Linked DNA regions of Oryzias latipes. The protein of the gene in region 2 interacts with the protein of the main gene of each other region in a pairwise test. Links are inferred from orthologs where the notes say so. Each region holds a gene or a part of one and is shown on either strand. Other genes may lie near its edges.

Region 1 (4,277 bases), on a different chromosome or scaffold from region 2:
ACAGACAGCTCCATGGATTACCTCCAAGCAGGCTCTGTATGGACAGCAGAATGGAGCGCACATCGTACAAGGCCGACCACTTGTCTTTCAGGATGTCCAGACAGATGAAACCCTGATCGTCCACGTTGGGGTGGAAACAAGGCGTGACAAATCTCACACGAGGAGCCTGGTAGGGGTAGCCTGCAGGAAAGTCGAAGGACAGCCGGTACCGGAGGCCCTCGTACACCTGACAGGAGAACCGGATCACACATTCATGCATAATGTGCAGCTCTCATCTCCTCACGTCACCTCAAATGTGGTGACAATCAAATTGTGCAGCACCCCTCTCTCCTCACCAACAGTTGTGTCTGGATTGCTTCACTATTCACTACACGATGGACTATATAGCGCCATCCCCATTCTGTAGAGCTGTGCGATTCTACAATTCTTAAATCTGGTGCTCGAAAAATTTCTCATAAGTCTAAGAAAAACCACTGTGCATCAATGCTCACTAGACTAGCGAATATAGACCACAATGTATTGTGTTTGAACAATTTTTCATGTATTTGAAGTAATGTTTTAAATAAACTTGTCGTTAATAGTCTTATAGTCTTTGTAAAATGTCCATATTTATTACATTTTTACTTCGGGAAATGTGTGATTTCATATTTGCCATTAAAAAAAAAAGAAAGTGAGTATAGAGACCAAATTTCTTTTACGGGTCCAGGGCACTACATGGTGCCACAGCCACACTATGCAGTTTTTTTTAGTAGTTGAGGAATACAGACAGCCAGTGGCACGAGCGTATGCGCCCATACGTACCGTCCCCTGCGCTCCATCAATGGTTCCAACCCATTTGAAGAGGTTATCCGACTCTGGAAACGCTGAAATGCCTTTATCCCCCGACATCTGCAGCAAAGGAGCAAAAGTTACACTAAAAGCTGCAAAAAATGAGCGCTCACCCTGCCGTTTTCCTGGACTTTAGTTACCGTAAAGGGATTCAAACTGATTCAGTGCCTCGGTTGGACTTCAAGTATTGTTCTTTGTGAATGCTTTAGATTATGAATTTATTTTATCCCTTTAAATAGTCTCAGAAGGCTTCATCATCACTTTTGTTTCCATTATGGATAAGACACACTGCCAAACTAGTAAGGGTGTAACGGTAGACGTAGTTGGACTGAACCGTTTCGGTAATTTCAGTCTGGACCACTTTTTTACCGTTTCGGTTTGTTTATTTTTGTTTGCATTTTATGGTTACACGAAGTGGCAGTTAATAGTTGTATTATTTTATGTAGCATATCACCTACATAGGTTAGTTTTATTATTGTTATATAAAACCAATAAATGCATTTTGCAAGAAATTTTTTTCTGCCTTTTTTGTACCGAAAAAAAATACAGAAAACAGATCAAAACGGGCCCTATGAAATTCTGAACCGAACCAAATTGAGCTACCCAGCTACAGAAAGGGAGGGCCACAGAGTGCAATGCATCAAAATATGTTTGTTTTGTTATTTAAATAATTAATCAAAACTCCTAAATTAGTCCCAAAATGTGTGAATGTATAGAGGGGTTTTCTTTGCCATAAATTCTAAGAAAAACATCAATCTGTGTAAAAAAAAATATCTATCCCTGAAATTAACAGCTTTGCATATCCTTTTATTATTTCAGACAATAGGATTTAAAAAAAATTGAAATCAACAGTGATAAAAGTCTATTTATAAATAAAAAGTTGAACTCACCATGAGAGTCATCAGCTCCTGCTGCAACCTGCAAACACACAACAGAAGCAGAGCTCCTCAGAAATCAGAAATAGTACAGCCGATAAGCGGACTGCTCTGATGTGGGCCAGGAAATGTGGCGTTGTGGACCTTCAACTTGACCAGCACTAAAACCACCAAACTGAGAGGCCAATGCAAAAGAGTAACCGCTAAATTAATCAGCATTTGACTGAATCATTCAGGGAAAACCAAAGCTGACTGATCTGTGATTGCATCAGCTGCTGGATCTCCATTTAGACAGAAACAACTTTTCAAGTCCAGGCTCATTCTTGATCTTGTTAGTCTGGTTTATTTTCACGTTCAGATGACGGTTGACACTCACCGCTTGGACACCGAGCCTTTGGTCATGTTGTTCTCGCTCTCGTTGCCCTTCAGAGCAGCTGCTGCAGAGGCTCCAGCTGCTGCAGGGTCCATGTTCTGGGAGGCCATGTGTGCCAATGATGGGCTCTCCTGGACACATGTACCAACAGGTCAGTCCACTTCACACACAATGACACAAACAGGATGAGGAACCTTCTGGTCTGATGGTGATACCATCATCATGAGAGCTCTGATGGAGACTGATCATCGAACCAAAACAACTATTATGGATGAATATGGCTATTTTTAGAAGAGGCAATAGGAGCTTCTTCAAAAGGAGCTCAGGCTGAAGAGGAGGTTCTTCAGATGCTGACATAAGGTCCATAGTGTCTCTGAGGAAGAACGTGAAGCTTCAGCATAAACGGATTGCGCTTCTGCTTTGGCTGTTGGCGCAGAGGTGGTCATTTAACGCAGCTGCGAACACGGAGGCCTCTCAGCCGCGCGGACAGCTCGTTTCTGTGGCTTTCCTAGTGTTTCTGTCGCCGTGACACCGATCCCTGCAGCCCGTGTACACCGACTACACTCGTGAAAACTATTACCCGGAAATAATAAACATTCCACATACATCTAGAAGTTCTGTTTACCTGCGAGGCTTACTGTAGATCCAATTTGAGTAGATCCGAACAGCTTTGATATCGCTCACTATCTGTTAATGGAAGCCTAACCCGCCCCGAGTTTTTAAATTGCATCAGCCAATCGGTGTCCGCCTTTCAAAAGCAAACAGAAAAATGCCAACCAATCACGAGTGAGTATGCTTTAGGAGGCGTGTTGTAATTGGTTCGAAATATACCGGAAATTAACACCCTGAGTACGACGTTTAGTGTTTACGTCAAGAGAAGAGAGAATTTCAAACGAAACGAAAATGAGTTTTGAAATGGGAATTTAAACAAACAAACAAAAACAAAACACGTTTTGATTTGAAATGTCTAATCTTGTGCAACAATCCAAATTTATATATTTTCAATGATTTTGTGTCTTTATTCAGGAAGAACTAGAAATGTTGCCCAATTTCCTTAGTTATACATTTTCCATGAAACTAATTAGTTCCTTTTAATACTAAGTCATATGACTGAAGGAATTTTGCATTAGTCGGTTATTTCCTTTCAAAAACCAGTTAAAATCAGATATTGTTATATGAAAAATATTAAATTTCCTTCCCTTAGGCCTAATTCAGAACTTATGTCCGCTGACAGAATCCAATTTTGTTCTCAGATCTGTACACTGCTGTGAGCCAATTTGAGATTCACATTTAAAACTAGAATGCTTTAGCACTCTCGTCCAATAAATTATTTGCTTTTTACTCAGTAAAAACCTCATGAACATATGATAAAGATGTGAACATTTTCTAATATTACTAAAACATAAATTCACTCGTGTAACTCCATTAGTCGGACTAGGATAAGCCTCGTTCCTCCTCCTCAGCATGTCTGCAGCTCTATTCTCCATCTTCATCTGTAGCCACCACGTGCAGCTGATGGCAGAACCGTCCATGATGAGCACAATTGTATCTAAGGAGAAATTCACCATAAGTAAAAAAAAGAAAGCGTAGTGATCAAAACATAATTAAGATCACCAGAACAGAAGGTGCCAAACTGGGAAAATAAGTTCATTACTGATACATGAACTGAACATGACATTTGAAAGATGCTTCAGTAACAGCTTCATTTAGGCGACAGCTTTTCTCTGAGAAGCAGCTGTTTCTGCGCACAAAATATATGATTGTTCATCTGCAAATCATTTCCTTGTATTGTAGAGAGAAATATGGCCAACGACCAATCAGTTACCTGTTAACATGGACTACATTATGCTATTTTAGAGCCATATCCCTCAGGCTTTGATCCATTTATCCATTTATCTCCTGTACTAACTGAATCCTTTTCGTGGTCACAGGGCTGCTGGAGCCAATCCAGCAACAATTGGGCAAAGGTGGGGTACACCCTGAACAGGTCCCCATTCTGTTGTAGAGCCATACACTCGCATGCACACCTAAGGGACAATTTAAAATACTGGTAATCAATTGACCTACAAAGCATGTTTTTAGACTGTGGGAGGAAGCCAGAGTGCCTGGAGAAAACCCATGCATTTATAAAGAGAACAAACCCCACCTAAATTGACCCCAGGCAGGATTTGAACCAGGGCCATCTTGCTGTACGGCCACTG
Region 2 (3,505 bases):
CCTGCCAGGTATTATTTGATCAGCTGTTTGCATGTTTATTTACATCACAGAACTGGAATTTCTTTAGTTTTGTATAGATTCTTCTTTTTTTTGTGAGCATTTTGTCCCAAAATGCACCCTTTTTAGCATCTAAATGTTTGTGTAATCTCCTCAGGGTGACTCAGGGGGGCCTTTGGTCTGCCCGATGACAAATGGGACCTGGGTGCAGGCCGGAGTGGTGAGCTTTGGGATCGGCTGTGCTCAGCAAAACAAGCCAGGCGTGTACGCCAGGCTTACCACCTTCTCAAGCTTCATCAAGAAAAACGTACCAGAGGTTCAACTCTACGGAGGAGCCCATCACATCCAGAGTGGGAGCATTATTTTGCTGGTTAGCTTTGTGCTAACACTGCAGGTTCTACTTCAAAGATGATTTGCCATCAAAACTTAATTCCTGAGGGTAACTCTAAATCTCTGCCTCGGTGGCCTTTAATAGTCACATTATGTTACTTGTATCTGACGTGCACCAGAAGCCATAACAAAATGAGATCATGATTTTGTTTTGTTTTTTTAAATGACAGCTTTGTATGATGAGCTTTGATTAAAAGTAGATTTCATAGTTTTGTACTAAATCATAAATTGTGATCATTTTGCATTTCAATTAAATGTTGTTTAACCTAAAAGTCAGCTTTATCATTTATACTCCATCCTGTATATGTATATTCTATCATACTATACACAATATCTTTGGCTTTTTTGTAAGAGATCAAGGGGAAATTGCATTTAGTGCACACTTTTATTTAGGTATCTTTTACCTTTTTTTTATTTAAAGTGACGTAGCATTCATGCATTTATTTCCAAGATTTGTCTTTTATTACAGAGAAATCAGTCTTGTGTTCTCTCTCTCTAAAAAAAGCAATTTCGTTTTCCAAATGTTTAAAATGTAACTTAGGAGTCGGGAGCTATGCCATCAGAGAGGATCATGGGAGAGCCGAGCTGTAGCTCCTGCTGCAGCGACTCCAGGTCAGCTGGAGTCATGCGGTGCACCTCGCTCCAGTCGGATAAGAGGGAGGCGGAGAGGGGGGCTGAGTCATAGCTGAAAGACAAAAGAAAATGAAAAAGACGGTGTGCTCTCAGTAAAAGTGCAGCACGTGGGTTAATGCATGTCATGGCGTGCATGTCGGTAACTACCGGAATTTTACATTTTGACTAGAAGGTCAAACCTGTTTGACTTTAACCCAGCTCTCTTTGTATTTTGGATTGCATATAGAAGGGACACTTGGTTTGATATAAGGGAACTAAAAGACCTCAAGTGTGAAAGATTTTGCATTATGATGATGATGTAGATTCCCAGTTGAGTATTGATGTTTCTGTTGAACTCTTAAGTTTTAGTATCAGATCTCACCTGTCCCGGTCACAGTTTTGCAGGTCCGTCAGAGATTGGTTCAGAAGGTCATCCAGATCAAAGCCCACGCCATACCCAGCACCGCTGCCTTTAGGGGTGACTGAGAACACCGGCGGTAAAATGTCCTCCACCTGACAGAGGAAAACACACAAACTTTTGTTTCCATTAAAGGTAAACTAAGACTTGTCTGTAAATGAATCCCAGTCCAAACCTGGGACTTGGACAGCTGCAGGGTGACTGTGTGGATGTCAGGAGCAGTAGGGGCTCCCTGCTGTCCTGTATCGGTGAACACCAGGCTGGGATGAGGCTGAGAGGAGACCCCTACTGTCCCACAGAGGGGATTTCTGGTCTCTGATGTTGGTTTCCCTCCTAATGTAGAACATAGCTTCTCTATTTGCCCTGAATTTCCTGTCATCGTATTGAGGTTATTCTGACCTCCGATGCCCATGTTCCCGTTGGTCTCTTGGGCGTTGAGGGTTGCCGCTCTTGACAAAAAACTCTCTAAAGGGAGCAGCTGTGGCTGCGGGTCAGCCTTGGTTTGGGGCTGCAGGAAGCTGGATGGCGCCGGCTGTGTCGTTCTGTTTGGTTGGTGTGGCGGCCTCGTCGCCAGTTGCTGGCCACTCCAATTCCCTAAACAGCCAAACCTGCTTTGGACGCCACTTTCAGGGTGAGGCTTCAGGGCGTTTTTAACGAACCCACCAGCCATGGCCATTAAGTCGATCCCTGCATTCACAGTAACTAGATCAGCTGAGGGGGTCTGCTGGTTCATGGAGAAAGGCAATGATGGTGGTTGAGCGCTGGGCGACTGAAACAAGCCATGCTGGTTCGGGTTTACTTGAGAGATTAGCTGGTTGTGTGCCTGAAACGTTCTCGCCTCGTCGGTTTTATTGTTCATCGTTTCCGCGGTGATCTCTGTAACTGCACCCGTGTGAGAACTCTCGTTACAATCCTTGTTCTTGCATCCATCGTTGTTAGGAGTTTGAGATTTGTCGCAGCGGCTGTCCATCATCCTCGTCCAGCGCTGCAACAAGCTCTTGTCGTTGTCACTCAGCAACACCCCACCCAAAGAGTCCCCCTGTTTTCCCTCCCGTCTTTCCTTTTCTTTCATTTTTTTCTCCCTCTCTCTTGCTCGTTCCTGCCTCTTCTTTCTTTTCTCCTCTCTTTCCCGCTGACGCTCCTGGGCTGTGACAGACCGACGGGACTCTAGAACAGAGGACAGGGAGGATGAGGCGCCTCCTCCTGCACCGCAGTCAATACCGATGGCCGAGGCTCCTCCATCTGCAAAGAACAGATCAGAGAATGCACAGAAATGCAAGCCAAAAAAAACAAGGAATGATAAATATTGAGCTTACCACTCCTGGCTTTTTGTCTGATGGCAGACTTTAATAAAACTGCCTTAAGGGCATTTTTGGTGTCCTCTGAAATGGCGCCCTCTTTCCTGGTTCCCTCTGCTGCAGGTTGAGAACTCCTCGAGTTCTTGCCAAGTGACTGTGAAAGGGACTGAGAGAGTGAGTGGGCCTGTGCCACAGACAGAGACAGGGAGTGGGCAGAGGCGGGTATGGGTGCCGTCCTCCGTGGCGGTGCAGTGGTGGGAGCCTGGGCCGCTGACTGAGCCTGAGTGTTCATTAAATACTCATGAACTTCACGGTCTCTCATCGCTTCCGATGAAGCACCCTGACTAGACACTGGGGTCGTTAAATCTATCGTCTCCGGCTGGCCGCTGTCAGAGTTGGCACTGGGCATATCCACGTCAACTGGGCCACTTTCAGTTTTACTGAGAAGCGATAAATTGTGGGTCACGCATGTCCTGGTGACATCTAAAAGGGCTGCAGACTTGTCAAAGGCTTTGATCTGATCAGCAAATGCTTGGTTTGCTTCTGCTGGATGGTTTTGCTGCTGCTGTATCTGTTGTGCTCTTGGTACCATTGGAAGCAGTGAGGATTCGGTCAGATTGTCAGCAGTTGGAGCATTACTCTGGTTATTACTTTGCGCAGCGGCTCCCTTGTTCCCTCTCGGCAATGGCTTGAATTGCAGCTTCTGACGGCAGCTTTGTTTCTTTTTATGAAAGTCCTGGATTTCCATTAAAATGGCATCTTTGATTTGTTCCTTGCTCATTGCAATCTT

Evidence for each region.
Region 1: the proteins of mitogen-activated protein kinase 7 (region 2) and ube2c interact in binary tests that used the Homo sapiens proteins (3 or more experiments, as listed by UniProt). The two-hybrid records come from large-scale screens. The link is inferred for Oryzias latipes from reciprocal best matches to the Homo sapiens genes MAPK7 and UBE2C.

The regions. Positions count from the first base shown.
Region 1 is NC_019863.2:18,098,230-18,102,506, reverse strand, and holds the start of ube2c (ubiquitin-conjugating enzyme E2 C), read right to left. Parts: upstream 2,809-4,277; 5' UTR 2,702-2,808; intron 2,208-2,701; 5' UTR 2,187-2,207; coding exon 2,080-2,186; intron 1,747-2,079; coding exon 1,719-1,746; intron 889-1,718; coding exon 802-888; intron 227-801; coding exon 22-226; intron 1-21. UniProt on the Homo sapiens protein: Accepts ubiquitin from the E1 complex and catalyzes its covalent attachment to other proteins. In vitro catalyzes 'Lys-11'- and 'Lys-48'-linked polyubiquitination.
Region 2 is NC_019877.2:8,015,547-8,019,051, reverse strand, and holds the end of mitogen-activated protein kinase 7, read right to left. Parts: coding exon 2,734-3,505; intron 2,660-2,733; coding exon 1,593-2,659; intron 1,513-1,592; coding exon 1,382-1,512; intron 1,073-1,381; coding exon 925-1,072; 3' UTR 762-924; downstream 1-761. Other genes in the region: serine protease 27, read left to right, coding at 1-8, 155-409. UniProt on the Homo sapiens protein: Plays a role in various cellular processes such as proliferation, differentiation and cell survival. The upstream activator of MAPK7 is the MAPK kinase MAP2K5.